Linked DNA regions of Arabidopsis thaliana. The protein of the gene in region 4 interacts with the protein of the main gene of each other region in a pairwise test. Each region holds a gene or a part of one and is shown on either strand. Other genes may lie near its edges. The genes, in order: AT1G50730, AT4G26410, AT3G03990 and UNE16.

What was found.
Region 1: the proteins of UNE16 (region 4) and AT1G50730 interact in a two-hybrid assay, tested with the Arabidopsis thaliana proteins (one large-scale study listed by BioGRID).
Region 2: the proteins of UNE16 (region 4) and AT4G26410 interact in a two-hybrid assay, tested with the Arabidopsis thaliana proteins (one large-scale study listed by BioGRID).
Region 3: the proteins of UNE16 (region 4) and AT3G03990 interact in a two-hybrid assay, tested with the Arabidopsis thaliana proteins (one large-scale study listed by BioGRID).

What each region holds. Positions count from the first base shown.
Region 1 is NC_003070.9:18,791,634-18,801,912, reverse strand, and holds the start of AT1G50730 (uncharacterized protein), read right to left. Parts: upstream 6,704-10,279; 5' UTR 6,639-6,703; coding exon 6,522-6,638; intron 6,291-6,521; coding exon 6,108-6,290; coding exon of another isoform or gene 6,090-6,107; intron 5,990-6,089; coding exon of another isoform or gene 5,959-5,989; intron 5,870-5,958; coding exon 5,660-5,869; intron 5,337-5,659; coding exon 5,177-5,336; intron 4,979-5,176; coding exon of another isoform or gene 4,963-4,978; coding exon 4,630-4,962; intron 4,181-4,629; coding exon 4,017-4,180; intron 3,837-4,016; coding exon 3,645-3,836; intron 3,560-3,644; coding exon 3,470-3,559; intron 3,214-3,469; coding exon 3,133-3,213; intron 3,044-3,132; coding exon 2,900-3,043; intron 2,758-2,899; coding exon 2,675-2,757; intron 2,486-2,674; coding exon 2,344-2,485; intron 2,251-2,343; coding exon 2,167-2,250; intron 1,628-2,166; coding exon 1,466-1,627; intron 1,392-1,465; coding exon 1,304-1,391; intron 949-1,303; coding exon 874-948; intron 741-873; coding exon 674-740; intron 511-673; and 6 more.
Region 2 is NC_003075.7:13,343,691-13,350,827, reverse strand, and holds AT4G26410 (chromosome-associated kinesin), read right to left. Parts: upstream 4,175-7,137; 5' UTR 4,069-4,174; coding exon 3,826-4,068; intron 3,334-3,825; coding exon 3,267-3,333; intron 3,051-3,266; coding exon 2,973-3,050; intron 2,841-2,972; coding exon 2,788-2,840; intron 2,676-2,787; coding exon 2,539-2,675; intron 2,452-2,538; coding exon 2,387-2,451; intron 2,272-2,386; coding exon 2,213-2,271; intron 2,127-2,212; coding exon 2,037-2,126; 3' UTR 1,691-2,036; downstream 1-1,690. Other genes in the region: AT4G26415 (uncharacterized protein), read left to right, coding at 436-809, 1,201-1,690; AT4G26400 (RING/U-box superfamily protein), read left to right, coding at 4,805-5,875; AT4G26390 (Pyruvate kinase family protein), read right to left, coding at 6,410-7,137.
Region 3 is NC_003074.8:1,030,962-1,037,208, reverse strand, and holds AT3G03990 (alpha/beta-Hydrolases superfamily protein), read right to left. Parts: upstream 3,631-6,247; 5' UTR 3,422-3,630; coding exon 2,618-3,421; 3' UTR 1,972-2,617; downstream 1-1,971. Other genes in the region: AT3G04010 (O-Glycosyl hydrolases family 17 protein), read left to right, coding at 1-330; AT3G04000 (NAD(P)-binding Rossmann-fold superfamily protein), read right to left, coding at 774-1,185, 1,303-1,709; AT3G03980 (NAD(P)-binding Rossmann-fold superfamily protein), read right to left, coding at 4,128-4,536, 5,020-5,423. UniProt on the Arabidopsis thaliana protein: Involved in strigolactone signaling pathway. Does not move long distances acropetally in the plant to regulate shoot branching and is rapidly degraded in the presence of strigolactones.
Region 4 is NC_003075.7:7,934,359-7,940,954, forward strand, and holds UNE16 (Homeodomain-like superfamily protein), read right to left. Parts: upstream 4,288-6,596; 5' UTR 4,140-4,287; coding exon 3,956-4,139; intron 3,682-3,955; coding exon 3,605-3,681; intron 3,497-3,604; coding exon 3,442-3,496; intron 3,352-3,441; coding exon 3,273-3,351; intron 3,195-3,272; coding exon 3,125-3,194; intron 2,929-3,124; coding exon 2,506-2,928; 3' UTR 2,248-2,505; downstream 1-2,247. Other genes in the region: AT4G13630 (zein-binding protein (Protein of unknown function, DUF593)), read right to left, coding at 1-1,045, 1,122-1,671; AT4G13650 (Pentatricopeptide repeat (PPR) superfamily protein), read right to left, coding at 5,253-6,596. UniProt on the Arabidopsis thaliana protein: Transcriptional activator. Probable component of the central regulatory system controlling transcriptional responses to Pi starvation. Binds in a sequence-specific manner to phosphate starvation-regulated promoters.

The DNA.
Region 1 (10,279 bases), on a different chromosome or scaffold from region 4:
GCAAAACTTGGCAGAAAAACAGTACCACTAGTGCTGATGATATGCAATTGCAAGCTTCAAGCGCCATGTTCCCCCGAGAAATCTGCAATAATAAAACCTCGGGTTAGTTAGAGAAACAAAAAAGTTAGAATGTTTCTTATTAGTGGTAGTAGTTTGACCTGTGAAGACTCTTGCTCAATAGCATCTAATAGTTCACTTAGAACTAACTGAGTACACGAGACAAGTTCCTGCTTGTATGATGAATCACCAAAGAACAGCAATTCATTTCCAATTATCTGCACAAAAATAAGTATAACCCAAATTTTACATTATAAAACCAGCCATCAGAAAACAGACTACGCAGACCAAGGAATTTCGACAATGGAACTAATGTTTTGCTTCAAATAAGATGATGAGAGGCATATAAATACCTCTGGATTGGCAGAATGGTAAGGCAGATTGTCCTGAGAAAGTGTCGACAACAGTGACATTATAGCACAGAAAATCTTCACCTTTACTCTCAGTGTTGCCCTACAACAACACAAAATGTCACACAATCACAATTACATAAGGGACAATAAACTTTTAGCCATAAGAGGGCATTAGAACAGCAGACAAACAAGAGAATACATGTCTATTTTACATGTCCACAGCCCACAGGTAGGTAAAAACTAAGTCCTTGAGATATGCATACCATGAACTAGAGCGAGTAGCAGAGAAGATACTTTTAAGGATCTCCATCACGCCTTTCTCGGGATTACCTTTCCAATTGAATATACGAAAATAACTCAGTTATGAAGCTCCGAAGAAATAAGGAGAACGAAATCAATTTGGTGACACAGAGTCACATCTATATTGTTGAGCAAAAACTATCAAACAGTTTCCACGATTTACCTGGGATCATTACCAAGAGGCTGCACAATTTGCATATAACCGAGGCCATACTATCTATATCAATTGATTTTAAACCTGATAGAGAAAAATGTACAAGATATTATACCATCAACATATCCGATGCATATTCATTCATTAAGACATATACATTTATCTGGAGAAAAAATAAAAGGCCCTGAAGAACAACTGAAAATGGAAAAAATACAAAGCTAGAGTGACGAAGAAAAAGATAATCATCTATACTTGAAAAAACTTCACAAGTAAAAGTGTATGCAGGCCACCGACCATAGAATCATCATTATAATATTTAAACCAAGTATTCTCTTTGCAGTAACTGGTCTTAGGGTGGCAAGATATGTCAGACTAGTTTTATTACTTTTCAGATATTTATTTAGTATCCAGTAGTTAAATTAAACATTTGCAGACTCACCATCTGTCAGCACTACATTCTCTAGATACTCAACAGCTGACATGACCAGTTCATCTGAATGAGAAATCAAACCACCTAAAAGTGCAACCTATAAAACAAACTTTAGTACGTATATTGCTTTGAAGTGGGAGTGTAAAGGACTGAAAAAGACAAAAATATTACCTCAGCAGTTTCAAGATAAAGATTTAAGTGTTTCGTGGGAGATGAAATAGATGGGATGGTCACTTCGCTAAATGCTAGGCAAGATTTAACAAAGTTGATATGCTTCTTTCCTGCTTTCAGTGCTTTTACTGCCAAGGTGTTGCTTGAACGAACAAGTGTCTCCTGCAGCCAGTGACCATAAGCAGGAAAAATGATCAAAATGTTTGATAATTTTTGTTTGTGTCAAGCTCTAATGCAAATAAACGAAAAATAAACACACCCATAGCAAGAAAAAAAGCATGTGGGAAGCATGTATTGCTCTTGTTCCCTCTCTAGTCTCTATACTTAATATCTAATAGTCTCTGTACTCCTCCCTTCTCATAAATGTACCATATCATATGTAGCCAAATTTTGCGGTAATTTCTAGAGTTTTTACCAAATTCACATTAACCTTCAAATTCTATTATGTATAACTTAGATCATGCACCAGATGGCAGATACATTGCTGCTTGACCCTCAAATCCAAGGCTAAGTATCCGTCATGACCAAGCAAGAAAGGACTAGATAAATAGCAATGCACCATAATTAACTGATTACCAGATAATCAACTCTCTTTAAGAAGTAAAAGAATGCACAAGACTGGAACTATACAGGGTCCTCCACAGGTATAGCAGTATTAAAAGTTAAAACTGATACCAAAGAATAATTAACTTTTTGCTGACCTTAAGTTCATGTATCCCATTAAAGGCCTCACGACACTCCGCCAAAAACAATAAATGGCGTTCCATTTCTGCCCCATAGTCAACCTAAGCATCAAAAGTGAAGTCAAATTCAACTAACTTGACAAAAAGGGCAAGTGCTCACTGATTTCGTAATAATGTAAGTGGAACTTAAGGTACCATCTCAACAAAACGAGAAATTAAATGTGATGTCTGTCTATTGTCATCATCCTTTATGTTAACGAAATCTGTAGCATCATAAAGAGCCTGAGAAACTTCAAAAAGCAATTGCACTGTTGTTGAATCACAAATGCAGCCATTCCTGCTCCAAAGGAAAAGAAACATGAATACTTTAACCAAGAAAGAAAGAGGATCACAAATCCTTCCAAATACATAAACGTTATGTATGTAAATTAACGTTCATCAACTTTACAATGGTCTATGTCCCCATCCAAAAAGTGTGAGATATTTAGTTCAAATTAAGAACGTTGGAAAAACAAACAAGCCTTACCTTGTACCCATGTTAAGAAGATGCATGTTTACACTGCTCTTTGAAGTCCCAGACATAAGATCCAGAATCTCGATGAAATGATTCTAGAAGATAACCAAAGAAGTTGTTTAGCGAAACTAGATAATGATGTCATCCAAAGAAATACAAAACAGCTCTATTTGGATGCTGTGTACTGTTTCCTGAAAGCCTGAAAGTAGATAAAGGAAAGAGGGAGGAAAGTATTACCAGAGGAAGTACTTCTTGCAAGTTCTCGAAATGAGAGAGCAGCTTCAAAATTATGGATTGCAAACTTGCTTGTTCTTCTTCAGAAAGAAACTTGTCGCGAGCTAGGCTTACAATATCATCCAAGAGAGCATCCAGATGATTTTCCTGAAACCATTAAAACTGATAAATAAATCTAAAGAAACGAGATCAGAGAATTCTCATGAGTACAAATAAAAAAATCACATCGGTCTCACCATCTTGTTCTGCAACATAAGATCCACATATGCGTCCATAATTCTTAAGTAGTCATAAAGTGACTGATACTGAGAAGCAGCCTGTTACAATAGTTACATTTAAATGTCAGCCTGTTGCAATAGTCACGTTAACTTTTCGCTCCTTACCATAGGTTTTGTTGACATATTAAATGTGCAAGAAAAGGAGTATTATGCAAATCAGTATTCAGGAAGGAGTGAGATGCATCTTTTGGTATATGATGTGTATATATAAATGTCAGTATGTCAGGCACAAAAAGATTGAAAATCCATGAGAATGAATTCCTAATTTTGTTGAACGAAAGACGAAACACCAAACCTGAATAACTTCATCAATGAGTGAACTGAGAAAACCTTCTTGAGATTTCCCTTCAGACAATCTATTTCCAAGTAACCTATAATTCAAAACCTGCTTGATGAAACAGTACAACATAAAAGGAAGGGTTAGACTCACTGGATTGTCTATTTTATATAATCTGAGATGAAGAAATAACCTGACTAAAGGAACAATCATTGCTGCATCTAATCATATCCAAGATCTCCATTGCTAGTGAACTAACTAATTCAGACGGAAGTTCCTTGAGTAAATAATGAAGTAAAATGGACACATGCGAAGAGTTGTAAGATGACTGAAATTTGTTCCGTCCAAATCCAAGCTCCTCAAGTATGCCCAAGACATTGTTCTCCTGTACACTAACCAAATTTTTAGGACAACAATCAATTTATAACAAACCACGGAAATGATAAACAAGGTCTGACAGACATTTTTTGCCTCAGTAAATGTAATGCAAAACTAACTCAAGCTCATTGTGAATGGGAAAAAAAGGTGAACCAAAAGTTTTAGTCAGTCAAGAACATTGACTAACCTGACGTCCAGTCAGAAATAAGCATTTCATTATATACTCGATGGCTGGTTCCACCAAACTAAAAAGTAACTTTTTGTCGTCTGTAATATAGGAATACCCCTCCTTGTCCACTAAAACAGGCGCCAATACATCTTCAATATCCTTGATGCATTTGATTAAATATCCTGTTATATAAAGGTCAAACTTAGATATCAAGTGTCTTCCTCAAGGAAGAAAAAAACATCTCACATAAATCTAATTGTTGGCATGTAAAATCCTAACTTCAAATTCGCAAACTGAAGGTGTCTAACATTACGCATCATCTTGCTAAAAGTAAAAGGATAGGAGACACTTCATCTACAGATATTCAGTCATGATGGAATGATTCACGAGAACTCCCATGTGCTATACTCAAGTCAAACAGACTTCCCTAGTCTCTTCAAAGTTCAAACTGTATTCACTCATGACAAGGAAATTCATAACTTATAATATCTAGCAAGAAAATGTGACTAGAGTAGAATTCTGTATCCATTTCGGTTTAAGAAAGCCAAGCTTATTCTGCAAATTACAAAACATTATGATTCTTCAACCATGTATCTAGCATTTTGCTGAAAGAATAATAGTATAAGAGTACCTGAACTGCAGAACCCAAACTTCTGCATGCGATGCACCATATAAAGACGACAATACAAAGATGTCAGTGGATCTGCGAGACCTCTCACCATCATGACTAAACGATCCAGAACTTCCATGGGTTGATTAATGAGGAAACGCCAGCAAGGCAAGATCGCAAGCTCCAGATAACTATGGGCATACAAAGAAAGGCCAATGCTAAGGCAGAGGAAGGTAGGGAGAATAAGAAAAATAATAATTGATGGGGCTTTACATGCGAGGGAGAAGTTCTCGAACAGAACCAACTTTGCAAAACCAGTTATAGCAAGTCTCTCTTGCTTCAAGGCAGATATCACTTGATTGAAAATCATCTGTCTTTAGCACAGGTTAGAGAATAAATTATAAGCTGCAACTAGAAATAACGCTACCTGTTGGCATCAAATGTATGTGTTTGATTGTAATCATGAACAAATGCCCAGGTCACATAATTTTATTCTCGAGAACACTATGCTCAGGACTAAATATTATTTTGTTAGAAAGAAACACACGATTAGAATAGAAATGCATACTCGGTAAGGCGCAGATCACTGTTCCATCTATATCAAGTTCTGCTTTCTGTTTGATCCGCTCCCACACCATATCCCCAAGCATATCTAGCATGTCAGTGACAATGACAAAGACTGTAGGATAAAACCGCAAAACTGTTGTATCCATCAGAAGCTTTGTGACCTGCAGAATGGAAGATATTATTGAACCCTAAAATAATAATAATCTAGTTAGTTAGGAATAAATATCTACAGCCAAAGCACATATCTATTTTTATTTCCAAGCAAACTGCTTCTATGGCGGAAAAGTATTCAAATACAACTCCAATTGAACACGAGCTTTTAAGAGCACTCTATATTGGATATATCAATCAAATGAATCCTTTTTACTTATTCATACGGATAAAAATGATACAGAGGAATAGAACACAACCAATTTTTTGAAATTTTTACAAACAAATTCTCCATGCTTTGTTGCAAAGCAATTTGATTAGTTAGTATGTTAACCTTTATTGATAACTTCAACGATGTTACTCGATCTTCAGCCTGCCAAGCGCTATTTATTCCATCTCTTAGCTCATGTACTTTGGCTATATATTCATGTTGGCTGATTATTTTGGCCGGCTCTTCCAGAGAAGTTTGTTCGCTGCCAGTTTCCTCCGGATGGGAAAGAGCAGAAGGGGACTCAACTGCTGATTGAGTAAAGCAAAGCAGAAGCTGTTATGATATGCATCCACAAGTTCATGAAACAATAAACCAGGCTGCTACAATGAAAAGGGTTATTATTAGGCATAACGAAGACATACCCTTGGAACCTTTCGTTATTATATTAGATATCTGTAAAATATGGGTGAACAGGTTAGACAAGATGAATAAGGGAGACACCAAATGATCTTTTTAGCAAATAATAAGTCTCTATGCAAAGAATATACGTAACTGGAGAAAATGAAATCACTTTGGAGACAGGAAACCGCTGCATTAAGATTCTTTTAAGTGATTTCCACTCCTTTATCAGATCCTGAGTTACAGCTTCAATGGATATACAAGTATCTTCAACATTCTCTTCAGCAGAAGCATTCACATCCAAGCCCCTCAATGGATCAAAGAAGTGAAGATCGCGACCTCTGACAGTTTTAGCCTACATATATATTTTATAAATCAATTTTTTCAAGTCTTATTATGCATCAATCCTCTTCAAGAACTAAAAATCAAAAGCCATCAAATTCAGCAGTAATAATCAAACAATATATTGAAGTTTTTTACTCTAATCACTAGGAATTCAGAGAAGACTAATGAATTGGATAAGGGAACAAAAATGTGGGAATTGATATAGCTAGTGAACGCTCCTCTAAGGGATCGTATCGCAGACCTGTTGGTCACGAGAAGCAAGTGTAGAGGAAAGAGGATGCTTTTGAGTTTGTGACCGAGGAAGAAATTGAGATTTATGTGTAGCTCCATAGTCGCGACGCCGGAATTCCAACTCCATGGCTTTGTGATTCTCGTTGTCGTCTCTCCGGAGACGATCTGCGATTCTGCTTTGAGAAGAACCACAACGCTTAATGGTGATTTTACGGTGTCGTTTTATGAAAAGTCAAATTGGAGTAGACGTGTCCCAAAACAAAAATTCTAACCCAAGAACAAACCGAACTAAACCAAACTTAACCAGCTGAATTGATTTTGTCAACGTGAGTTTTTTTTTTTTCTTATAACCAACAACTTGTGAGTCTCATGTCTACTCCGAATTAAGACTGAAACAAGTTAAATTAGTTCTCTCTTTTTTTGTGTGTTTGATATTATTTGAGAGCAGTGGAGGATCTTGAAAAAATTAGTAGAGTTAAAAATAATGTTAGTGTTAATTATGAGAGAATTCCACATAAGAAGTCCAACTATTATCTCATTAAAAATTCATAAACCCACCTAATTTGAGTTTTTATAGCAAGTTTAGATTCATAAAAACTATGTTGTTATAAGAAGTTAAGAACCAATAATCCAATGTAGCTAATTTTGGGAGTTGCAACTTTATGCAACTGTCCTTGTTCATCATTTCATGATATCAATCTAAGATTAACTAAGTTTGGTGTTCTTCAATTAAGCTTCATTTCTTTGTTTTCTTCTTACACTAAATAAACCTATTTCATTTTGTATAATTTCTATATATCTTACTACGCCTTTTTTTTGTGCGTGCGAAGACTTGATTTTCATTCATTCAGAGACAAACGAAAAACATAGTACAAAGGTGAGATTCAAAGATCTAAAGTTTTGTAAATGAAAAGGAAAGACACTCACAAATGAACATAAAGATTGTAAAGATAATTCGACTTTTTCTCTACAAACACTTGAAGGCAATAGCTAGATAGCTTCTTGGCACAAGCAAATTCATGGTTAGGCGTGGGCACTTCCACGAGTACTTCGGGAAGTGAAAGATTAGTCACGGTTGTGTGACAAAGTGACGTTGAGGACGGTTCCAAAACCTGATTACGCTCTTTTTGGGCAATAATCCTTTGGTCTTTGGATTCTTCCACATTAATGGGGTCAATGAGGGAGTCTTATACCAGATATTCAACAAGTTACTCGTACTCTTCATTCAAATTGATAATATTTGTGGTGGATTGATAAATGTTGCACCTAAAACGTGAATTCGTAGGGATATCATGATATTAATTTTGGACTTTTTTATATACGTATATCATTTATCTTTTTCTACTTTTTGTTGCTAGATCAATAACTATTTATTTCTTAATTAACCGTGTGAAGTTTGAACTTTTGTCCCATCATTGTTCTTGATATCCGAGACAACCCGTTGATACTACCATGTTTAAGATGCAAATCACCCCTCGCAAATGGAGTTGAATAGTGAGGTTGAGATCAATAACTAATCTTGAGAACAAAAATTTGAGCAATTTCTTTCCAAAAGCTATTTAGATGATAAATTTAAATTTTTATCAAGATTAATAGTTTTTCTTATCTATTAATTAATATATACTAAATAATATGAAAATATGAATAGAAAAAAATATATAATGATTTTTAAAGGATTTTAATCAATTTCATTTTATAAATTAGATTTTAATCATATCTATCATTTTTATATTCTCTTGAAAAATTGTTTAAATAAAAAAGAAGTATGCACCGTACGCAAAACTTACGCATGCAATATTCCTAGTACTAGTAGGCTAGTAGATTAGTAGTTAGCTTATACGTTATACTAGCACACCTATATGTACGCTTATATCAAATGGCATGTTCATTTGATTATAAACAAATGCAAATTAACAAACACAAATTACAGAAAAATATTGCTATATCTCAAATTGTCAATGTTGAATAACTTCTTTAACTATTCCAATATCATAACAATTTTAATATAAAAATATATAGAATAGTCCCAAGAAAAAATGTTTAACGAAGTAACAAAAAGTTCAATAATAATTAATTTAATAAATATTATAATTATTTGGCCGACGGTGTACGAGAGGGCACAAAGACTTGGAACGAAAGTCCCTATGGTAATATTAAGGATTTGATTAACATTGCTTCACCACACCGCATGCCTTTAATTTCTCGTCCAGCCATGATTATACTCACACTTTCTAGGTCACATTCCGGCTCTTCCTTAATAACCGGTTTACCTTCTTTTTTTTCAACTTTCTTTAAGCATATATATCACTTGATCAAGTTTGCTCACATTTGTCATCACACAAATATTTTTGATTATTATAATTAGAAATAGAATTAAGGCTTTAACATATGATGCGTGTAATCGTCATAAATTTATTGTTAGACCTAATTAAGCTTATTTCAAAATTTGTTAACCTAAATATAAAATCTTACACACTTGATTAATATACATTGATTATCGACTAAACTAACCGGCAGTGCTTAGATTATAATCATTAACTAGATTTTAACCCGCGGTATACCGCGGGACTATTTATTTTTTTTAAGTAATATTTATTAAAACTTGCAAATTTTATTTTTATAAAATATTTATATTTTACAATTTATAATTGTTATTAAGTAACGGTATACCACGAATCCATGAGATAATTGTTAAAAATCTGAAGTTTTAACCCTTATTAAAACAACATATTAATAATATTTTAAATTTTTTATAAATATTGATTCAAATACAACCACCATATAACTCAATTCCAAAATAAAACCCGTTCTGTAATTTTTTTACCCGTCCCGTGATTTTTTTTTAAAGTAGTAATTTTTAAAATGTAAGAATTATTTATTATATATAAAATTTTTGCAAATTGTATCATTCTCTAATACATTTATATTTTATAGTTTAATTTTATATATAGTAACATTATACATATTACATAACTTTTTGGTTTTATATAACCTTTTCTAAATTAAGATGATTTGATATGTTTAATATTAGTGGTCTTAAAAATAATAATTTAAAGATTTAACCCGTATAGAAACGGTAGATTAATTATATTTTACTTTTTTATTAATGTTGATTCAAAAAACCCGTCCCTCCAAATCCGTCTTGCTAAAAAGTCATTTATTTTATTAATATTAATTTTATTTATGATATGACTCTGAATTATAATCTAAAATTTTTAGCTAATAACATAGGAGTGCACCATATTTATTTAATAGGGAAATGTACCATATGACCCGAATGCACTTTTATCCAAATCCACCAAAAAAGTCTTGCAAAAATACTATAGAGATAAGAAACTATAGTCGGTTTTGATAGGTATAAGATTAGCAAATATATTAGTTAGCTTAAATTAGTTAAAGAATTCAAATTGAAAAAGTATATTACATTTTATTCGAATATAGTATCAAAACTTATATAATACAAAGATTTGATAATTTTGTAATTGTTGAATACTTTTTTTTTGTGCTAATTTTTATGTGATTAAGATTTAATTGATTTCGTATATAAAATATTAAATTGACTTATTTGTTTATAATTTGGTAACAGATAGATATTTGAATATTCAGTATATTTTGCTTCAGTTTAGGAAATCTTTGATGATCCGTCTTAATCTAGATATTAACCTGCAGTATACCGCAAGTACGCTTATATTTTAGTTAAACTAAAAACTTTTATTGTAAAGATGATTTAAAAATATATGATATTATTTTATTTGATTTTAAATGTAT
Region 2 (7,137 bases), 5.4 Mb from region 4:
TGCATGGTAAAATAAGTAATTATCATTTATCACACTAGGTTTCTTATATTTCAGATAAAATTATTGTGTTTCCCATAACTTTTGAAATCTTACACCTTTCTCCTATTTATTGAACTGGATAAAACAATAATATTTGAGAAAAGAAAATTATTCAAAGAATTGATCGGAAAAGTGAAACAAACCATTTACAATATCACACAGTACGTGAAATATGAGAAAAAGAGAACCTCGTGACCACCAATGACACTTTCCCACGTGACACTCATTAAAACGTCAATATAAACTTAAAAACTTTTTACAACCCAATTAAACTTGAGGAAACTAACTCCCCACCACCCCTGTATTCATTCCTCTCACAACACACAACACCATATGGCTTCTTCTCATTCACTATCAATTTCAAATCTTTAAGACAGTATTATCCTAAACAAGACAATGAAAGATCTTTCTTTCTTCTTCCTCAAAAAATACTCCCTCGCCTCGAGAATGCGAGGACGAGGTCCACGTAGCGGCTTTGCTAGCTCTTGTGGTGGTGATGGCTCAACTTTGACACTAAACCAACATCAAAAGAACGATGTGGGGCCTTCTGTTACACCTGAAAACACTCCTTTCGGTGGAGGATCTCCGAGAACTCTAGAGGAGATGATACTTCAGCTAGAGGTTGAAGAAGATATTGTTCGAAGAGCGAGACTCCGTGAATCTTACTACGGTACTTACGATAATTGTGATGACCATAATGATGTTGATGATGATAAGTTATATCATCAGCCCGCCCGGATGTCATGCGTTAACAGTTCCGATATTTTGAGGTGCGTCATGCTTATTTTTATATGTACTTAAGTAAATATTCTCATTAGGGACTCATGAGCTCTTACATATAGTTAACTTTTTTTGACATGCCACGTTAGTAATTAAGATGAATATTGAATAATGAATATAACGTATTCAAGAGGAGAAATAACGTTGGTTTCATGATTGATAATATGATATTCACCGGTGTAGATTTGAATGTACGAAACAAGTTATATGACTACATTTTAAAGTGTTTTTTTTTTTTTTTTTTTTTGAATTTTCTAGATTTCGTATACTGGTGAAATCTGTAGTGATATTTAAGGAATTACCGGAAGAAACAGAAATAATTTTATTGTGTATGATACTATGATCAATACTAATATCAACTTCTGTTTGTCTGCCGTTAAGGTCAGCAAGGAACGCGTTGAATCAGTACCCACGTTTCTCACTGGACGGTAAGGACGCTATGTACCGGTCATCCTTCCGGCGCCATCTTGGCACCAGTGCTGACATGACGATACAGGGTGGGCGGAGATCCCACTGCGGGGATCAACGGACATCAAAGAGATCGAGCCAGATGAGCTTGGAGACAAAACGCCTGCCACGGACAGTGGCCGGAGAGAGTGTGGTATGGTGCAAGACGGGGGTTGTTGCAAAGCTGATGGGTCTGGAGATGATACCTGTTCCGGACAAGGGAAAATCGGGAAAAGATAAGTTAGGGACTCTGCTCAAGAGGGAGCGTCTAAGGAGGAGAGAACGGACTCTGGACGTTAATGGTCGGACCGGTCCGACGACTGAAGCTTCTTGCTCGTCTGGAGGGTTTAACATTACTAGACCAATCGGAGCAGTTGGGTCGCCTAGTCGCATGGGTGGATGGCCCACAGCCCGTCTCCCATAGACTTACGATGCAAAACTAGCCCATTAAAAACCTTCATGTTATCTATAAATTTTCATTACTGATTGATTCAGTAACTTTCTATGTTTCTCATAAATCTTCTAGACTACATAATTAAGGATTTCCAAACCAAGCACACACATTTTTGTGACTCAATTAATTCTCTCTGAGCGAGAAATCTTAGGAAGCAGGCAAAAACACAGTATACAAGTTCTGTCTCAAGCTCAGATTTTGGTTTCAGACAGAGTTGGATGTTCGATGGACGAGAGTACACTGCGATTCAATTGGAAAATACCTAACAAACTTTGGTTGCGAAAACCCAAGAAATTGTGGATTTGTGTTGGATATATCAGACGGAAACTCCTAGGTCCGACATACCCATGATCCTTTTGTTCAATGCAATCCTCTTCTGTCTCAAAAGCGAAGTCATGGAAGCCACCTAATGATTTACGACAAAAGAATTTAATGAGACGTTCATAGCAATGAAGCTCAAACAATGGGCGAGAAGAAAAAAGTCAGACTCACTTCAGCTCTAAGCTTGATAGCATCCCTTCCAGGAATTTGCCGAAGTCCGTCCATCAAATCTGCAGCGAATAGAACTCTTTGTGTAAGTTGAAATCTGACGTAGTGGCATTATCAAAGATACCATTTGAAGGGAGAAGGGAGAAGTGAGTAAAAATAAATCTTGTTCAAGATTACCAGCAGCTTCACATTCAGCTTTGTGGACGGACTTAGCAAGACGATGTATATCGTTTCCAGAGTTCCTATAGATATAACAGTAGTACCCATATTAACATAAATGATGTCAATAACTTAATAAAAGAAGTGGGAGCGTCCATGTTGGGGCATACATGAGCTCAGAGAGACCACGTTTCATATCCTTCTCTGCTAAAGCCGTCCTCTCAAGCAATTTCCTGCTCTCCTTTTTCATCAAGTCTACAGACATGTTTAACTCCTGAACATGCTTCTCAGCTTTCAAGAATTGTGCCTGAAGCGACGATGATTTTGAAGTGGATGTAAAAATAAGGGAAGGGACACAGACCAGGGCAACTAAGCATAACAACGTTAAGAAATAAATTTGAAGCTGGTATAGTATATACCTCTTCGCTCTGAAATCGGCCTAGTGTATTACGAAACAAGAATCTTCTTGGGCCTGTAAGTCGAACAATAGAAAACCAAATTCATACAAGACACATATAAGTAAAACAGATGTAATACCATTTGGATGCTCCTACGGGAAGGAATCTTGTAAGTTGTAAAAGTGATAAGAGAGTAGAGGTTATACCTCGCATCAGAACGAGACTAGCAGCGACACCAATCCCAATAGCAGCAGCCGGATGCTCTTTTGCGTATATCAATTCGTCTGCGAGGATAACAAAAGCAGCAGAGGATACGAGGATTGATTAATCGGAATGACATGAAGATTCTAGTTTCAGAACACTATAAGATGCACTACAAGTATATATAAAAGTTTTGTGGCAGCTATCTGTTATATCTCAGTTTGATCTAAAATACTCGTTCCTAAGCATTACAGTAGTCTACCAGTATAACTTTTTCACGAAAATTGGCTGCAAGATACCTGTAACTTTACTGAAGAAAGCATTCTCATAGGTCTTATACTGAGTCAAAGCATGTGGAATGAAATCCTGCAATTTCAGAATCAAATGTAAGATTGTATGAGAGAAGACGAAGACATATACATACATCTAATGGAACTGTGATTTCAGCCAGATAGGGTCTACTCCATATCACACATCATTAAGCTACATGAATATCTGATATCATATAAAAACATTGTTTAGAGAATAATCAAGAATGCCTCAGCGATACATTACAGTCTTCTAAACAACCATTTGAAGCAGAATCAGAACCCAGGAAGAGACTAAGATCATTGCCAATAAGTTATAATGGTATGATTCAACAAGATTTTACCCATATGAACAAAAACTAGCACCATTCAATACATAAAACTGCTAATTGGAGAAATATCTGTTCTGAATCGAGCTCATTTCTAGAAATTATAGCTTACGAGATACTAAATTCCACCATATCCATGGTTTGAAATCCTGAAAATGTTTTTTGGTAAACAATCTCGATTCGCAAAAATTGTTTGGTGAACAAAAGAGAGATTAACTAACCTGTATAGAGCGGAACTGAGAGGTAGAATTTTCACGGAGGGAACGAGCAGAACGCATTGCGGTATCCTTCGATTCCTTCACCGTCCGTTGCAAATCACCCACCCATTTCTCTGCTCCTTCTATGGCTCCTTCCACCGATTCAACCACTCCGATCGCTGTATGCTCCATCGCATCAGAAACAGTTTCAGTCTCAATCGCTGGAGCCGAATCATCGGTAACGCCGGTTGCTTCGGTTTCGCTCATCGTCTCCGATTTGCCTTTCTCGCACGGAGACAACGCCTTTTCTCCTTCTTTCAACTTCAACCGGTTCGATTCGGTTCAATTTGATTCCAAATTAGAAGTTGGTTTTAAATGGTTAAGATAGACCCGGCTCCTTTATATATCAGTTTGCGGTTAATGGGCTTTAAGATTGGGTCTGCGAACTATACATTACATTCCCTTTTCTTCGTCTTCATCTTCGTCTTCCTTTCCTCCTTCATTCCTCTTTTCTTCGTCTCCCACCATTTCTGCAGAAGAAGACAAATAAAAAAGCTCTCATTTATCTTCGTGGAGATCTAAAAGAAGGAGGAAGACATTTCTTCCCTCTGGATCTCCAAAAGTAAGAACATTTACAAGGTTTGTTTTTGTATTTGTTTTGTTTTAATTACTCCATGAGAATTGAGAGTTTTCTTTTCATGGATTAGCCCTGATTTCTATTGTTATCTCTTTATAGAGGCAAATTTTGGTTGATCTGTTTATTCGCATTTGCATAGAAAGCTTGCGTTTTGTTGTCTGAAACTTGAGCTAATGATGTTGGTGAAGATGATATTATCCTCTTTTTAGTGAAACTTTTGGGAATACCATTCTCTTTATTTAGATCTGATGAAACAAAGGTCGAAACTTTATAGGTTTGCTTCTTCATGTTTTTTTTTTTGTTGTTCTTCTGGTTGTTTCAGAAACGAGAGGTTTGGGTGGGGAAGGAAAGAAGGAGGAAGAGGCAATGTCAGCTAGGTATTGGTGTCACATGTGTTCACAAATGGTGAATCCAGTTATTGGTGCCGAGATCAAATGCCCCTTTTGCCAAAGCGGGTTTGTCGAGGAAATGAGCCGTGAGATTAATGGCGGCAGCAGTAGCAGTCTAAGGGAGGTTCAAGACCCTGAGATTGATTTTGGTACAGACCGTGCATTGTCTCTATGGGGTCCAATCTTGCTTGGAATGATGAGTAATCCTCGTAGACGTAGAAGGTTTAGGAGGACAGAGTTTGGTGTGGATAATGATGAGGTCAATGTATCTGATGATGTTGATGGAAATGACAGCGTCGATATTGATCGACATCATCATCGTCGTCATCGCCACAGGCAACAAGGTAGAGAGATTGATTTAGACAGAGAGTTTGAGTCTATCCTTAGGAGGAGACGGAGAAGCTCAGCTACTATATTGCAGTTGCTTCAGGGTATTCGTGCAGGGATTGCTTCTGAGTATGAGAGCTCGGATCGAGACCTGTTAAATCAATCAGCTGTTGTTCAGGGTTCAACGAGTTTGAATCAAAACCGGAACAATACTTCTCTTTCTGCAATTGGAGATTACTTTGTTGGATCCAGTTTAGACCATTTGCTTGAACATCTAGCTGATAATGATTCAATCAGGCACGGGAGTCTTCCAGCACGTAAAGAAGTTGTGGATAATCTCCCAACGGTTAAGATAAGTGAATCATTGCAGTGCTCGATTTGTTTGGATGATTTTGACAAAGGAAGTGAAGCTAAAGAGATGCCGTGTAAGCACAAGTTTCACATCCGGTGTATAGTACCGTGGCTCGAGCTTCACAGTTCATGTCCCGTGTGCCGATATGAACTCCCTCCTGATGATGAGACCAAGGTTAATCCTGTAAGACCGAGAACAAGAACTCTAGAGATCAACGTAAGTAATGAGAATGTGGAAGATGATGCAAGGAACAGTAATGTGAGCGAGAGAAGGTTCTCTTTTCCATGGCCGTTCAGCGGATTATTCTCTTCATCCTCTTCGTCATCCGCATCGGCCTCGGGGTCATCTCATCTCGGTGAGAACTCGTAAACTGCTATTCCTCAGCTTATAGTACATAAAATCTTGTTCACTCAGATTGTTGAATACTGCATAACAAATAAACACTTTCGAGGAATGGAATCTTTTCTTTATTTGTATTATAATATCTGATGATCATTTGGGTTTCCGTTAAAAGTATCCCTTTTAATTTAGTAAAATATAAAAAGATGAACACAGGTATTTATGTTGAGAGGGAGAGGCATGTGACTGTGAGTATGGTTGTTGACTGCATGAATCGCATTATCTCCAAATACGAATCCCAAAGTTGTGTGATCACGAGCCAAATGTGATCACACATTTTTGTAAAATATATTCAAAAAATAGTCTTTGTTTATGCAATTGCACTCGTACCAAACTAATGTACTTGTAACCAGAGTATGATCCAAGAACATTATGTAGTGTGTGGGAGCCACACACAAAAAAAGAAACAAAAGAGACTTTGAGTTTCATCTCAAGATTAGTCACCATGATGAATAAACATCCAAAACGCTAAGAAACACCGGCAAAACTCAAACGCAAATGGGATCACTTGACGGTCAAGATCTTGATAACAATAGCGTTACCTGTACGGAAGAGAGCCACAACAGAGTCTCCGGTCTTGCAGAGTTGCTTCTTTTTACCATACTCTGACGCGAACTCGAGAGTTTCTTCTGTTGACTCGTCGATCGAGGCTCTAGCCGATCCAGCATACAGCACCGGGACTAAACCACGGTAGATGAGACTGTGTCTTGCCGGTGCCTCGTTGCTACACGCCCAATCAAAAGAGTCAGACGTGATTTCAGGAACCACCACGGACAAAATGGGTATCCCTGGTCTATACTTAGCCACCAGCCTCGCCGTGCTGCCTCCTCTGGTCAAGACCATCATAAGAGTGGCTCTTGAGGAAGTAGCGGTTCTGACCGCAGATGAAGCAAGTGACTCCATCGGGCTCATAGGGACCGCAGCGTGAAGCATTATCCTCTTGAAGATGTCTCCATAGTCAAGTGTGCTCTCTGCTTCCACACATATCTTGGCCATTGTACGAACAGCAAGCTCTGGGTATGCTCCAGCTGCGGTTTCACCACTAAGCATGACACAGTCTGTGCCATCGAGGACAGCATTTGCAACATCAGTAGCTTCTGCTCTTGTTGGTCGTGGGGATTTGATCATAGACTCAAGCATCTGAGTCGCTGTAACCACTGGCTTCCCCATGAAATTGCACTTGTAGATCATCACTTTCTGAGCTAAGAATATCTTCTCAATTGGAATCTCCA
Region 3 (6,247 bases), on a different chromosome or scaffold from region 4:
GGTAATATGAGTAGGCTCGGAGATAATATAAACTACGCGTGTTCGCATTCGGACTGTACCGCTTTAGGTTATGGATCATCTTGTGGCAATCTTGATGCGAATGGAAACGCATCTTACGCGTTTAATATGTATTTCCAAGTGCAAAATCAGGAAGCTCAGGCGTGCGATTTTGAAGGGCTTGCAACGATTACTACTCAAAATATATCTCAAGGACAATGTAATTTTCCAATTCAGATTGGAGAGCCATCTTCTGGTCATTATGATTATAGCTATGGTTCGATGGTTAGGTTGTGTTTGGTGATGAGTGGCTTGGTCTTTCTTCTCATATAGAACAATGAGATTATAGTATTTGATTTGTTGTATATGACTGATTTATTCTTGGTTCATCAATCATTTGAAGGTTTTGTTCCATCGGATCAAATTCATAACATATTTTTTTCTTTTTGTTTGACTTCTTGCTGACTAATTAACTTTGATATTCCTCGGTCTGTTTTTTAATAAAGGATTAAAGAGATAAGAAGAGTACACAAACCTTAACAAAATAACGTAATAGATAATTAAACGTATAGGGATGTTGTAACGTTATGATAAGAAGAGTACACAAACCCTAATTCTTATCTCCGAGAACAGAGCACATAAAGCAGAGCTTGAGGTTGTATTTGACTGGTTATTGATACATGGATTATTGATGTTTCTTTTCATCAGATCAAATCCAACGTTTGAAATTTGAAAGCTTTTGATTTTATAAGAAGACTAATAACCACTCTCTTTCTTTACAAGAGACAGCCACCATTAGCCATGATGACTTGACCGTTGATCCATTCGCCAGCATCACTGGCTAAGAACCCAACAACAGGTGCGATGTCTTTGGTCTCACCGATCCTACCAAATAAGTTCTGTGACTTAACTTTCTCAACAATCTCATTGCTCAATCCTGTGTAAAACATTTCTGTGGCGACGGGACCCGGAGAAACACAGTTAACTGTGATCTCTGTTCCTTTGAGCTCTTTTGCAAGAATCTTGGCCATGGCTTCTACGGCTGCCTTTGAAGCCGTGTATGAGCCATAGTTTGTATTTAAGGTTTGAACCAGTGATGTTGAGAGGAGAATTATCCGGCCACCGCCTCCACGTTTTAGCCTATTCGCAGCTTCTCTAGCACAAATAAACGCACCTCTTGTGTTCACACTGTTATATCAAACAACGAATCTAATTAATATCACTATCTAATTAAATTCACGTTATAGAGTTGCAAAATAACTAAATGAAACAATCTTTATAATAAATGAGTTTCTTAAAATTAACCTGATAATGCGATCAAAAAGTTCTACTGACATGTCTGAGATAGTGGAATGATTAGGATCGGCTATAGCCGCTGAGTTAACCAAGATATGAACCGGCGACTCGAAGACTCGCTCTGCCTCATCGAAAAGCGACTTTACCTGGCTCGGCTCTGAGATATCAGCCTTCACCACAATGACACGTGGACTTTTGCCGGCGACTTCCGCGTCCTTTGAACAGTTGGTGGTAATCGCCGTGGCAACCTTCTCAGCCTCAACGGGGCTAGTTGAGTAATTAACGACGACCCTAGCCCCAAGCTCGGCAAGGTGGATGGCTATGGCACGACCTATTCCTCGAGAAGATCCTGTGACTATAGCTACTCGACCGGCGAGGCAAAGCGGTGGAGAAGAAACTGATGACGCTGCAGCCATACTGTTAGGTAGATTTTACTATAAATTTACTTTTCTATATTTAGGGTAGAAATGATGACAACGTGCTAAAAGAGTGTAAGCAAGCAATTTGTAGTGGTGATGGTTAGATTTGTCTTATGCTGTCAAATTCGTAAGCAAATTGAATTGCTGAAAATGTTTTTAGATTTGTCTTAACCTGTCAATTCGTATGCATTTTGAATTGCTCAAAAGTTTAGATTGATAGGACGTGTTTTCGTTGTGTGATTGTCTTCTAGAATTCACACACTCACTTTCTCAAATCTTAACTTGTATTATATATAGCACGGTAACAACATTATACAACTAACCAATTTTATTAACTTTAAAATTATTTAGAACACACATGCATAGTTGCATACTATAAAACTTAAATCAAGATTATGTCAGCCATAGTTGCTTCATTTTAGTTGTTGATACTTTTACGATGTGATGCTAGAATTTTCTAGTATACTTTATATCTTTTTGTCTCCATCATTTTATTAGAGAAAACAATCGAAAGTGTTGAGACTAAAGATTGTTGTTGCATCGATGTGTTGTTAGACGTCAATCAATACAAGGTCCAGGAACTTACAAGAAACAACAATATGGATAGAAATATTCAGAGGAAAGTAAAAGATAAGATAGGATTTTTTAATGTTTTTTTTGGTTATTCTCCAATTATTTTATGAAATAAACTTGTGATTATAAACTAATGAAGAGAGCAAGAAAAAAAGTGATAAAAAAGCGAAAGTCACGTGTCAAGTGAACAATCTTATCTTACTAGATTTGTGACAATGCCAAACTGTCCTCCACAAATAGAGGCCCTTCTTTTCTTCGATACGTGGACCCCACTAAACCCATATTCCACCAATTATATTTTATTGTTCTCTTTTTATATCTATAAAAAAAAGTCACCGAGGAAGAGCTCGCCGGAGAAACTGAGCAAGCTGCGCCGGAGCACTAAGCTGCGGCAAATGTCCTTCAGTTTTAAGAGTCTCCACAGTAGTATCTCCACCGAGATGAGACCTAAGATACTCCGCCACCGAAGCCGGCACAGAAACATCCTTCGCCGTCTGAATCACACACGTCGGAACTCTAACTAACCCAAGCACACCTCTCAGATCGCTGTTGAAAACCGTCCTCGAAACAAACAGAGATATATCCGGACGCATATTAAACAAAGTCCGGCTAAATTCTCTAACCGCCGCCGGAACATCAGCTCCAACAGCAAGCGGAGCAAATCCATGAACCCAAGCTTCGTAATTAGCTTCCATAGCTGAGAAAACTTTCTCAATCTCACCTTCTTCGAATCCTCCATGATAATCCTCGTCGTTGAGAAACCTAGGCGAAAATCCGATCAAGATAAGCTTGGAGAAAAGCTCCGGCCGACGAATCGAAGCGATGATTCCGATCATAGCGGAAACAGAGTGACCAACGTAAGCACAGTTTTGGATTCCGAGTGAATCAACGATGTTGAGAAGATCATCGACGTAAGGATCGAGAGTTGTGTAACGATTGAAATCGAAGTAATCGGGGTTGACACTGCCGGCGCAAACTAGGTCATAGAGGACGACTCTGTAGTTTTGAGTGAAGTAAGGAAGGATCAAGTGCCAAGCTGATTGGTCAGTACCGAATCCATGGGCCAAAAACAGGATCCGATCACCCGTACCCACGACCCGGACATTTAGAGCTTCTAAGATGTTGTGTTGACTCATTTTTTTATGTGTTTGGGTTTGAGGGTAAAGAAGAGAGTTGGATACTGTTTATATAAAAACTTGTTTGGGTAGGTGTGTGTGTGTAATGAAAATTCCTTTATCATCTTTTTTTTTCCACTGCATTTATTATTATTATTATCCAATACTTTCGATTGGCTTTTGAAGTTTATGGATACAAGAGCATGCGTTGATTATTCGTCACACATCTGATATATTTTAAGAGATTTAAGATGCTTCAAGGATATTGTTTTTAGACTTTTAGGTGTTGTTGCACTTGCCATATTCTTAAACCATTTTTTTATTCTGTAGTTGTATTTCAACAAACGACGTTTATCCCAAAGATTATTCGAATGGTGGGTGATGATAAATTGAATTATATAAAACATAAAGTGGTTCCAATGAATGTGTCAGTACGAAGACACGAGTTTGTAAATTAAACATAAGGTTTTTAAGAAATTCAAAAGTTAGATGTCGACGACAACAACAAAAGGATGTCGACAAAAAAAGAAGAAGAAATTTGGATATATTTTTTTGGACATAGGTGAGTCACGAGTGTTTTATTAAGATGGTTAAGACATTTATTTTCAACCTCAGTGTTTATTATTATTATTATTCCAATTGAACCCAATGTTTTATTTCTAACAAGTTAACCCCTACATTTGCTTCTCAAGGTATCAGGAAGAGGCTCCTCTCAAGACGAACTCTTTTATACATATCCACCATTAACAGGAATGATTTGACCATTGACCCATTCACCACCGTCACCAGCCAAGAATCCAACAAGAGGCACCACGTCTTTGGCTTCGCCGACCCTCCCAAAGGGAGACTCTGCGGCTATCTTTTCCACCAACTCTGGGGTCTTTCCATCAAAGAACATCTCAGTGGCGATGGGTCCTGGAGCAACACAGTTTGCAGTGATTCCTGTTCCTTTGAGCTCTTTTGCAAGAATCTTGACCATAGTTTCCACAGCTGCCTTTGATGCGGCATAGGCACCAAACCCTGGCTTTAAAGATCGAGTCTGGGAAGATGTCAGAAGTATGATCCGACCACCACCTCCTTGTTTTAGCCTATTGGCAGCTTCCTTGCTACACAGGAACGCTCCTTTTGTGTTGACACTACACTCCATTTTAAAAGAAACAAACAGAGGATTATTGGAAACAAGAATGAAGGAACTTTAGTTGGAAATTAGACATACAAATCTCACGAACATGGAACATTGGATGAAACAAGAAACATAAGTCGATTAATTAGCCACAAGAACACGAGACATGTTGCATTTGACTCATAATTAGACATACAAATCTAAAGAACACGGAACATATAATTTCATGGTTCATGGAGAGTGAACAAGAACACAGATTCCACTAAAATCTCAGTTGAAATATACTAAAGGAATCAGCTTTCTAACTCAAAATCATAGAACATGTAACAATTGATCAAGAACTTATACATAATCATCAACCTAACTAATTAACAAAAAAAAGTTTACTTTTCCAGTATTGAGCGGGAAGACAAGAACCCAATCAATGAAGATAAATTCTCTAAAGGAATCAGCTTTCTATAACGAACCCAATCAACGAACAGTATCGAGTATATACCTGAACGTATGATCGAAATCTTCGACTGATGTGTCTGCGATCGTAGGGTACTTTGGATCGAGAATCCCAGCAGAGTTAACCAGAATGTGAACCGGCGCTTCAAAGGCACTCTCCGCCGCATCAAACATTGATTTAACCTGGCTTGGCTCAGAGACATTGGCCTGAACCACAATAGCTCTTGGTCCCTTTCCAGTGATTTCTTCCCTAACTGGAAAATCATTGATCTCCGACGCGACACGCTCGGCGTCTGCGGCTTTAGAGGTGTAGTTGATAACAATCCTCGCACCGAGTTCAGCTAAGTGGATCGCTATCGCTCGGCCAATACCACGGGAAGAGCCGGTGACAATGGCGACTCTTCCGGCGAGAGGAAGCGGCGGTTGCGAGATTGATGAATGTGTAGACATAACGATTTGAATTCAATGAGTCTTAGCAGTGATGTGATTGGAGTGAAGAAGATAAATTGGGATTGGCCCTCATTATAAGTTCATTCATATTGTTTTACAAATCAGCCCCTAACTTTATATTTTAACAAATTGACCCCTACCCGCTCCTTGACAGTTTTCCTCTTTATATCTTCATATTTATAGATTAATGACCCATTCATTTCTCCATTTAACAATTTAAACCGTATTCTTTCCTCTTTATATCTTCATATTTATAGATTAATGACCCATTCATTTCTCCATTTAACAATTTAAACCGTATTCTTGATTCTTTGTCCAGAAAAGCCTTACATTTCGAATTGGGGAAATATCCTTCTTTTTTCTTTTTTGTGGTTTAAATTATAGATATATATTTAAAAGTTTATAAACAAAACAATTTTCTTTGTAACATTATAATCTAAGCTTAGATTTTTTTTTTTTTTAAACCGATTATTTTTGCCGACACAGTTTTATTGTTTTGTCAATTGATTGTATTTACTGTAGTCAAATATTTGTTCCCAAATTGAAACCAAGGCATTGGATTTGGACCAAATTTTTGGGGTAAATTATGGAAATAAAGTTCATTTGGCAGTAAGAATATGAATGCAATTTGACTACTATTTTCCATAAAATTTGGTCGAATTGTATCTGGACAATGGACAATAATAGAGATTTTAATCAAACAGGATTCGATGAATTAAATATTTTTTTTTAATTTAAAGACAAATTGATATATATATATATATATAGTTTTAATTAACTATGAGACTAACATACAAACTTTACCGGTTTGTGTAAAAAACATT
Region 4 (6,596 bases):
CCACAACGCTGTACCTGCGATTTGCTCTGATCTTTGGAAGAAAAACTGATCTTCTCTCTTCCCTTTTGTACAGCTCTTAACCGACCTCTCAGCAACCCAACTTCACTCTCTATTTTCAGTCTTTCATAGTCAATAGCTGACATTGAATTTCTTCGCATATTGGTAGACATGTTACTTTTCCCTTGTGGAAATGCATAACTTGTATCTGAAACACTTTGTGATCTGTCCAGTTTCAGATCCTGAGTGGCATGGTCAGAAGGAACATTCAGTTGCCCCTTGTTATCTTCATCAGTCACTACATGGATGTCATGTACATGACAATCAATGTCGTGAGGGTCCTCACAAAGCTTCTTAGAAACAGCAATGTCGCTAGTTCTTGATACTAGTTCTGCATATAAAGTTTCACCTTCCTCTCTTTCTTTCAGTTCTATATCACTCAGGGCATCAAATGGCTCACTTCTTGACTGATCACACTCAGTATTGTCCATCTGATTAGTGAAGATCTCAAATCCAGAAGAGACATTCACAGTCTCCATGTCATCCCATGGTTCAGTAATCTGTTGCGGCGTCTGCAATCTTTCGATTTGAGCTGGTTTAGAATCTGGAGTATTGTGAGGTTGCTCAGTCTCAAGAAACATTTGCCTGTAGGTATCAACTTCCTTCTCCAGAAAATGTTTCTCCCTCTCCCTCCTAAGCAAAATTTCTTTAAGAATACTCATCTCTTCCGCATCAAAAGCAGACTTTTCTTCTATCATCCGCTGATATTGCCTAGCTTCCATCTCTATCGACGCCTTTTCTTCTTGCAACCGTAATATCATACCTAAAGCCTCATCTGCAGCAGATGCAGCAGCATTTCTCTCTTTCTCAAGTTCAAGAGCTAACGAAGCACGTGCAGCTCGTTCTTCCCCAAGCACTTGTTCTGACATCTCAACCGTCCTCTGTACCATACCAGGGGAACTGCATGCACCCTCTCCCACTCCACACCCAACAGAACTTAGTGAAACACTTTTCCGCAACGACACATCCTCCAATGCTTTTCCACTATCTACAATGTTACAACTTGCATCAAAATCAACATTCACTATCCAATATAATTGAATAAAGACAACAAAAAAACTTACCATTGGAGTTCACAAGAAGAGGATCATTTTCATCATATGATCCCTCAAAGCTCTTAAGGCCTAAACAACTTTGGTAATGGTTCTTGAAACCATACGGCGACCTATGGAAGCTAAGCCGCTTACTCTTAACTTTAAAGCTTCCTTTTTTCAAACTTTGCGCAGTTAAAAGATCGAACCCTGAAGCCTTATTCTCAAACTTTCCAACAGAAGGAGTAGTACTAGATACCTCATCTTCCAACTGAACACGTCTACGCTCACATTTTCTCTTCTTTCCACCATTATACAGAATTGAATCAAAAGGTGTTCTATTTTTAACAGATCTTTGAACAGAAGAGATCTTTTTAACCGGAAGATTCCTTAAACTCTCTTGAAAACACTCACTGTATAGACCATCACAAGGACATGGTAGGTCTAAACCAAATAAACCGAGGAACTTCGATGTTACATAAACGATAAACGATGCGCAAAGTAGCGAAAACGCAACGGAAAGATCGATAAACGCAGCCACTAAACCTTTAAATGTCCATGATTTTACCTCCTGGCAACGCATTTTATACCTGCAAGTATACAATAATCTACAGAAATTACTCAAAGTTTGAGAAATTGGTTAGAGAATCAAATTGTTATTTGAATCAATTACAAGCATATATCCAAATCTAAGACTAATTTGGTAAGTTAATCAATCAATCAATCAAATTATATATAAACACAATCGTTACCACAGAGAAAACTCAACGATGAATCAATCGTTAACACAGAGAAACTCCTTGCGATTTGATTAATTTTTAGTAAATTAGAGAATTGAAACTCACACGAAGAAGAAGAAGTTGAGAAATCTTGGGGAAGCAAGCACAACGTAAACGGCTCTTCCTCTGCCGTTTTTATTTTCTCTCTTTGTTCAAAAATCAAAACTTCTTTTTTAGTTTTCAAAACTTCAGTTGCAAATCACCGTACGAGTGAGCAGATACGCCGTCATTTTATCGCCGACCCCATCACTCTCTTCCTCTTGAGATTTTTTTTTTTTTCTTTGACATTTTATTTTACACACGTAATCAAATTTGTGCATTTACGCAAATGTGTGCCAACTAATTTGTAGACAAGATCCAATCTATAGCATGGAGATAAGTTATGAGTATTTAATGAGTATTTTTTATGTTATACAATTACATAAATTCTATATTTAGGTTTGTCCAAAAAAGAAAAAAGAAGGCAAGCTTAGAAAAAGTTGAAGCAAATACACAAACTAAAAGAGAGGCTACAGATTCAACAAATATATACATAGACGCTAAGACAAGTTTGATGACAGAGTTTAGAGTTAAATACAACATAGCAAAATTAAATAAGCTAAAATCTGGTCTCGCTCTCTCTCTCTCTCTTGCTAACTTCATCCAATGCTACTACTAGGCATAACCCATCCAGCATCATGACCAACAACCACACTATCTCCATTTCCAAACACTCCTCGTTGTCTCTTCTTCATCAACGCAGCTGATACCGGACTTCCTACAGTGCTGGAAGTCAGAGAGCTCTCTGCTGAACAGTTGTTCTTGTGCTCTATTGCTACTGCAAGCTCGGATAAGGATGGAATCATCATTTTGGTTGTGTCGAAGGTGCTTGTTGTTCCTTGGCACCCATTGGTGATGGAGGCCTTTATGGCTAGCTCTGAAAGCTCTTCTCTAGCTGCCTCTAACCCAGCAAATGCAACAGCTTGCTCCTCTATAGCCTTGCAAGCTTTCTCTAGAATTGATTGCAGGTACTTCCCTTGTGCCTCGATCCTTAACTGGAGTCGCCTTTGCACCTGCGTATACTAATGGATCTTATTAAATGTGGAACCAGGGCTCAAACATTAGTATATGCGGTTTCTATGGTTCTAACTTTCATGAAAAGATTTCCTAAGTAGTAACGTTCTGATAAGCTTTAAGGAAATTCAATGGAGGTTTCTATATAGTCTCTCATTAACCAAAGTCTCTCTGGTATTTGGTGAATTCGAAGAAGAAACTAACCTCTAGTTGCTCGTGTAGTCTTCTTTGGACTTCCATCTGGGCACGCAAAGCTTCAGTGACCTGGTAACTCCTGGCTCAAGACAAAAACAATGAGTGTTATAGACAGTGAATATAACACTTGGAATAAAGAGAACACTTGAAACCATACTCGTTCTGTTCTTGAGCAGCCAATCTTAAGGATGATGTTGAAGATGAACCAGTGTCCTGACTCTCCGCAACACAAGAAACTACAGAGATATAAGTTCACAAAGATATAAATGCACAACTGAATCCATAAAGATATAAATGGATTCTTAGCTAAAGATATAACTGAATACCATCCTTAGAGTTGTCAATTGATTCTTTACAAGATTGCCTCCCCAAGCGGAATTTCTACCGAGCAAAAAACCAGAGAACAACACAGTCAAAAAGCAATGAACTTTGTTTGTTATAAGTAGCCAAAGAAGCATAATTTGATATTGAAGGTAGTAGCATCAAAACCTGAAGATGAGATTTGAGATGGTAAAGAGTGAGACCCTTCACTCCCATTGTTCTCATTATAGTTTTAGGCGTTGCTTCTGACATCAAACCAAACACACAAAAAAACTAATCTTGTAAACAAATCTCAAGGCCAATAAAAAAAACCTAAAGAATGCCACAGTAATTCCTAAATTGTTCTAAGTGACATAAACCCAAGAAATCCATTCTATTTCAGGATGATTGACTTCCAAATCTGAAAGAAATTAGACCTAACTCGTTGTCAAATTCTTCGTACTAACTGAAGAACAACAGATTAAAAAAAAAAACACATTTCATTCTAAGATCCATAAATTTCTAAGAAGGGACACTTACTGTCGGGTCCGCCGAGCTGAGTGACGGCGTCAACGAATCTTTCATGGAGCTCAGAGGTCCAACGAAGGCGAGGCTTGGGGTCAGTGGTTAGGACCAGACAAGCGTCGATGGGAAGATTGGTTCCGTCAGAGTAGTCTCCCAAGCTGCCATCTAGAGGAAGCGAAGACCGAATCGCCGAGTACATTCTTCTTTGATCCCCACAAAGGAACAAACTTTTCTTCGTTTCTTTTATTTTCTCGGCTGTTTTCCCGGGAAAGTGAAAGAAAGTGTGAAGAAAGATATTGTGGATTTCTAAGACAGCGAAGAAACGAGTTGATAGATTGGACAAGACAACACTCGGATAGTATTTTGTGTTTATATTTGTGCATTATTGAATTTATTTAGATATTTTCAAAAAAAAAAAAAGAGAGAGCAGAATTTATGTTTTGGTTATTTGTACTCTTTGCATTGAAATTCCAAATAACATATATGTTTTGAAAAAGTAGTAAGATAAAATTTCTTTTAGTTATTATTTTCGTTTTTCAATAGCAGAATAAAACTTCAAGTTCTCTATCTTAAGATGGTGCTAACTGCTAAAATAAACCAAATGAAAAAAGAAAAAAATAGGGTCCTCAATTTTTTTTTAAATATCAAATCCTTTAAACCTACTAGACATTTTTCCAATTATTTTTCTTTTATATAATTCAAGAGAAAAAAAGTATTCTTTAGCTTTAGTTTTTTAATTTTTATATTACTATTGACAAAATTTGTTTATGTAATAGCAGTTTCCAAATTCAGCCACATAAAACATTAAGAAATCAGAAGCACATCAATCATTCATATGCATAAAGAGAGACTCTGTTTCTTGGCAACATAGAATCTTTATTTTGAGACACTTTCTCTTAATCTACAATTCATCAATTTTAAAGCCATAGATGCACGTATATATGTAATATGTACACATATATAAGCCCCTAAAAAAGGATGGGGTATGAAAGATAGTGATAGTTACTTAGCAATGGTAGTAGAAACAAAGGAGTGGTTCGTTTTGTTAAGTCATCGATGGTCTCCTTTGCTCATGATCAACTCCTGCATCAACTCCAACTTTTCCTCAAGAACAGTCATGTGACTATTCTTTCCTTCAGGATAATACTCTTTGCTCAAGTATATCGTCTAGTATCATATCATTGCTGAGAATTCAGCTTACCCGTAAGGTTTGGTCCATGATCTCCTTCTTTGAGCGAGAACCAGAGCTCGAACTTTGGAACACAGACTTAACCTTCCCAAAAGAGGCGAGTGAGCTACCAGGCTTTGGCTCTTACCAGTAATCTTTACAAGAGCAAGCACCTCCTTCAAAATGATGAAACCTATATGCATCCCTCACTATGATTTCTCGATTTGATACCTTAGATACAAACTTTATCCAAGCATGGCAATCGTTGCAAACACGTAGGTTCTTCATTACATTTATAGGCACTGTTGCAGGCAAGCTAAGGAGTCCAAATGAAATTGCTAATTTCTCGCTGTGGATGAAAATTATTGGATCTTTTTGCTCGTGCTGCAGTTCATTCAATAGGCTGAAACAGTCTTGCACATACCCGATTTCAGATGCTCGTTTGGTAAGATCTTGGAAGTATTCATGTATCTCATCTGCTAACGGGTGATTCTGGTCACCAACATAGAAAGAGTGAATTGAGTTTTTAACTTCAATCCAACTTTGTCCCGGTTCTTTCTTCACACCCTTTTCTTTCATCTTTTGTCTTGTAAGATCCCTAGCATCCCATTTCTTGGACACCGCATACAGATTTGACAGAAGAACATATGTTGCTGAGTCTTCAGGTTCTAACTCTAGGAGATGATGCGCTGCAAATTCTCCTATTTCCATGTTCTTGTGCACTACACAAGCACTCAAAAGTGTTCTCCAGACCAAGGCATCTGGCTTAATAGGCATTTCCTGAATGAACTCTTTCGCACGGCTCAAAAGACCAGCTCGAGTTAGCATATCCACTACACACACATAGTGTTCCGGTTTAGGAGATAATCCATATTCTGAATTCATGGATTCAAAGTATGCAATCCCCTTGTCCACTAGTCCTATGTGGCTACATGCTGATAGAACTCCCACAAGCGTCACATGATTAGGCCTTACATTAGAATGTATCATCTGGTCAAAAGAATCTAGTGCTTCAGAACCAAACCCATGTTTAGAATAAGCATTAATTATCGCATTCCACGAAACTTCATTTTTCGTGGAGACTTCAAGGAACTGCTTCTCTGCATCAGAAATGCTCCCACACTTGGCATACATAGAGATTAAAGCATTGCAAACTTCGGTTTCTGAATCGTATCCGGTTTTGGTGATCACAGCATGAACCTGCTTCCCTTGTTTCATGTTAGCTGTCTCAGAAGCAGCTTTCACAGCAGACCCAAACGTGAAATTATTATTGTCAATTCCTTCTCTGTTCATTCGAACGAAGACACGAAGTGCTTCTTCATTGTTTCCACTCTGCTGAAATCCGGATACCAGAGCATTCCATGCTATATTATCTCCAGCTTCAGTTTGTTCAAACGCTAAATACGATTCCTCTATTTTTCCGCATCTAGAATAAAGTGTAACCAGTGCATTTTGAAATGGCAGGTCAGATGAGAAACCAGATACACA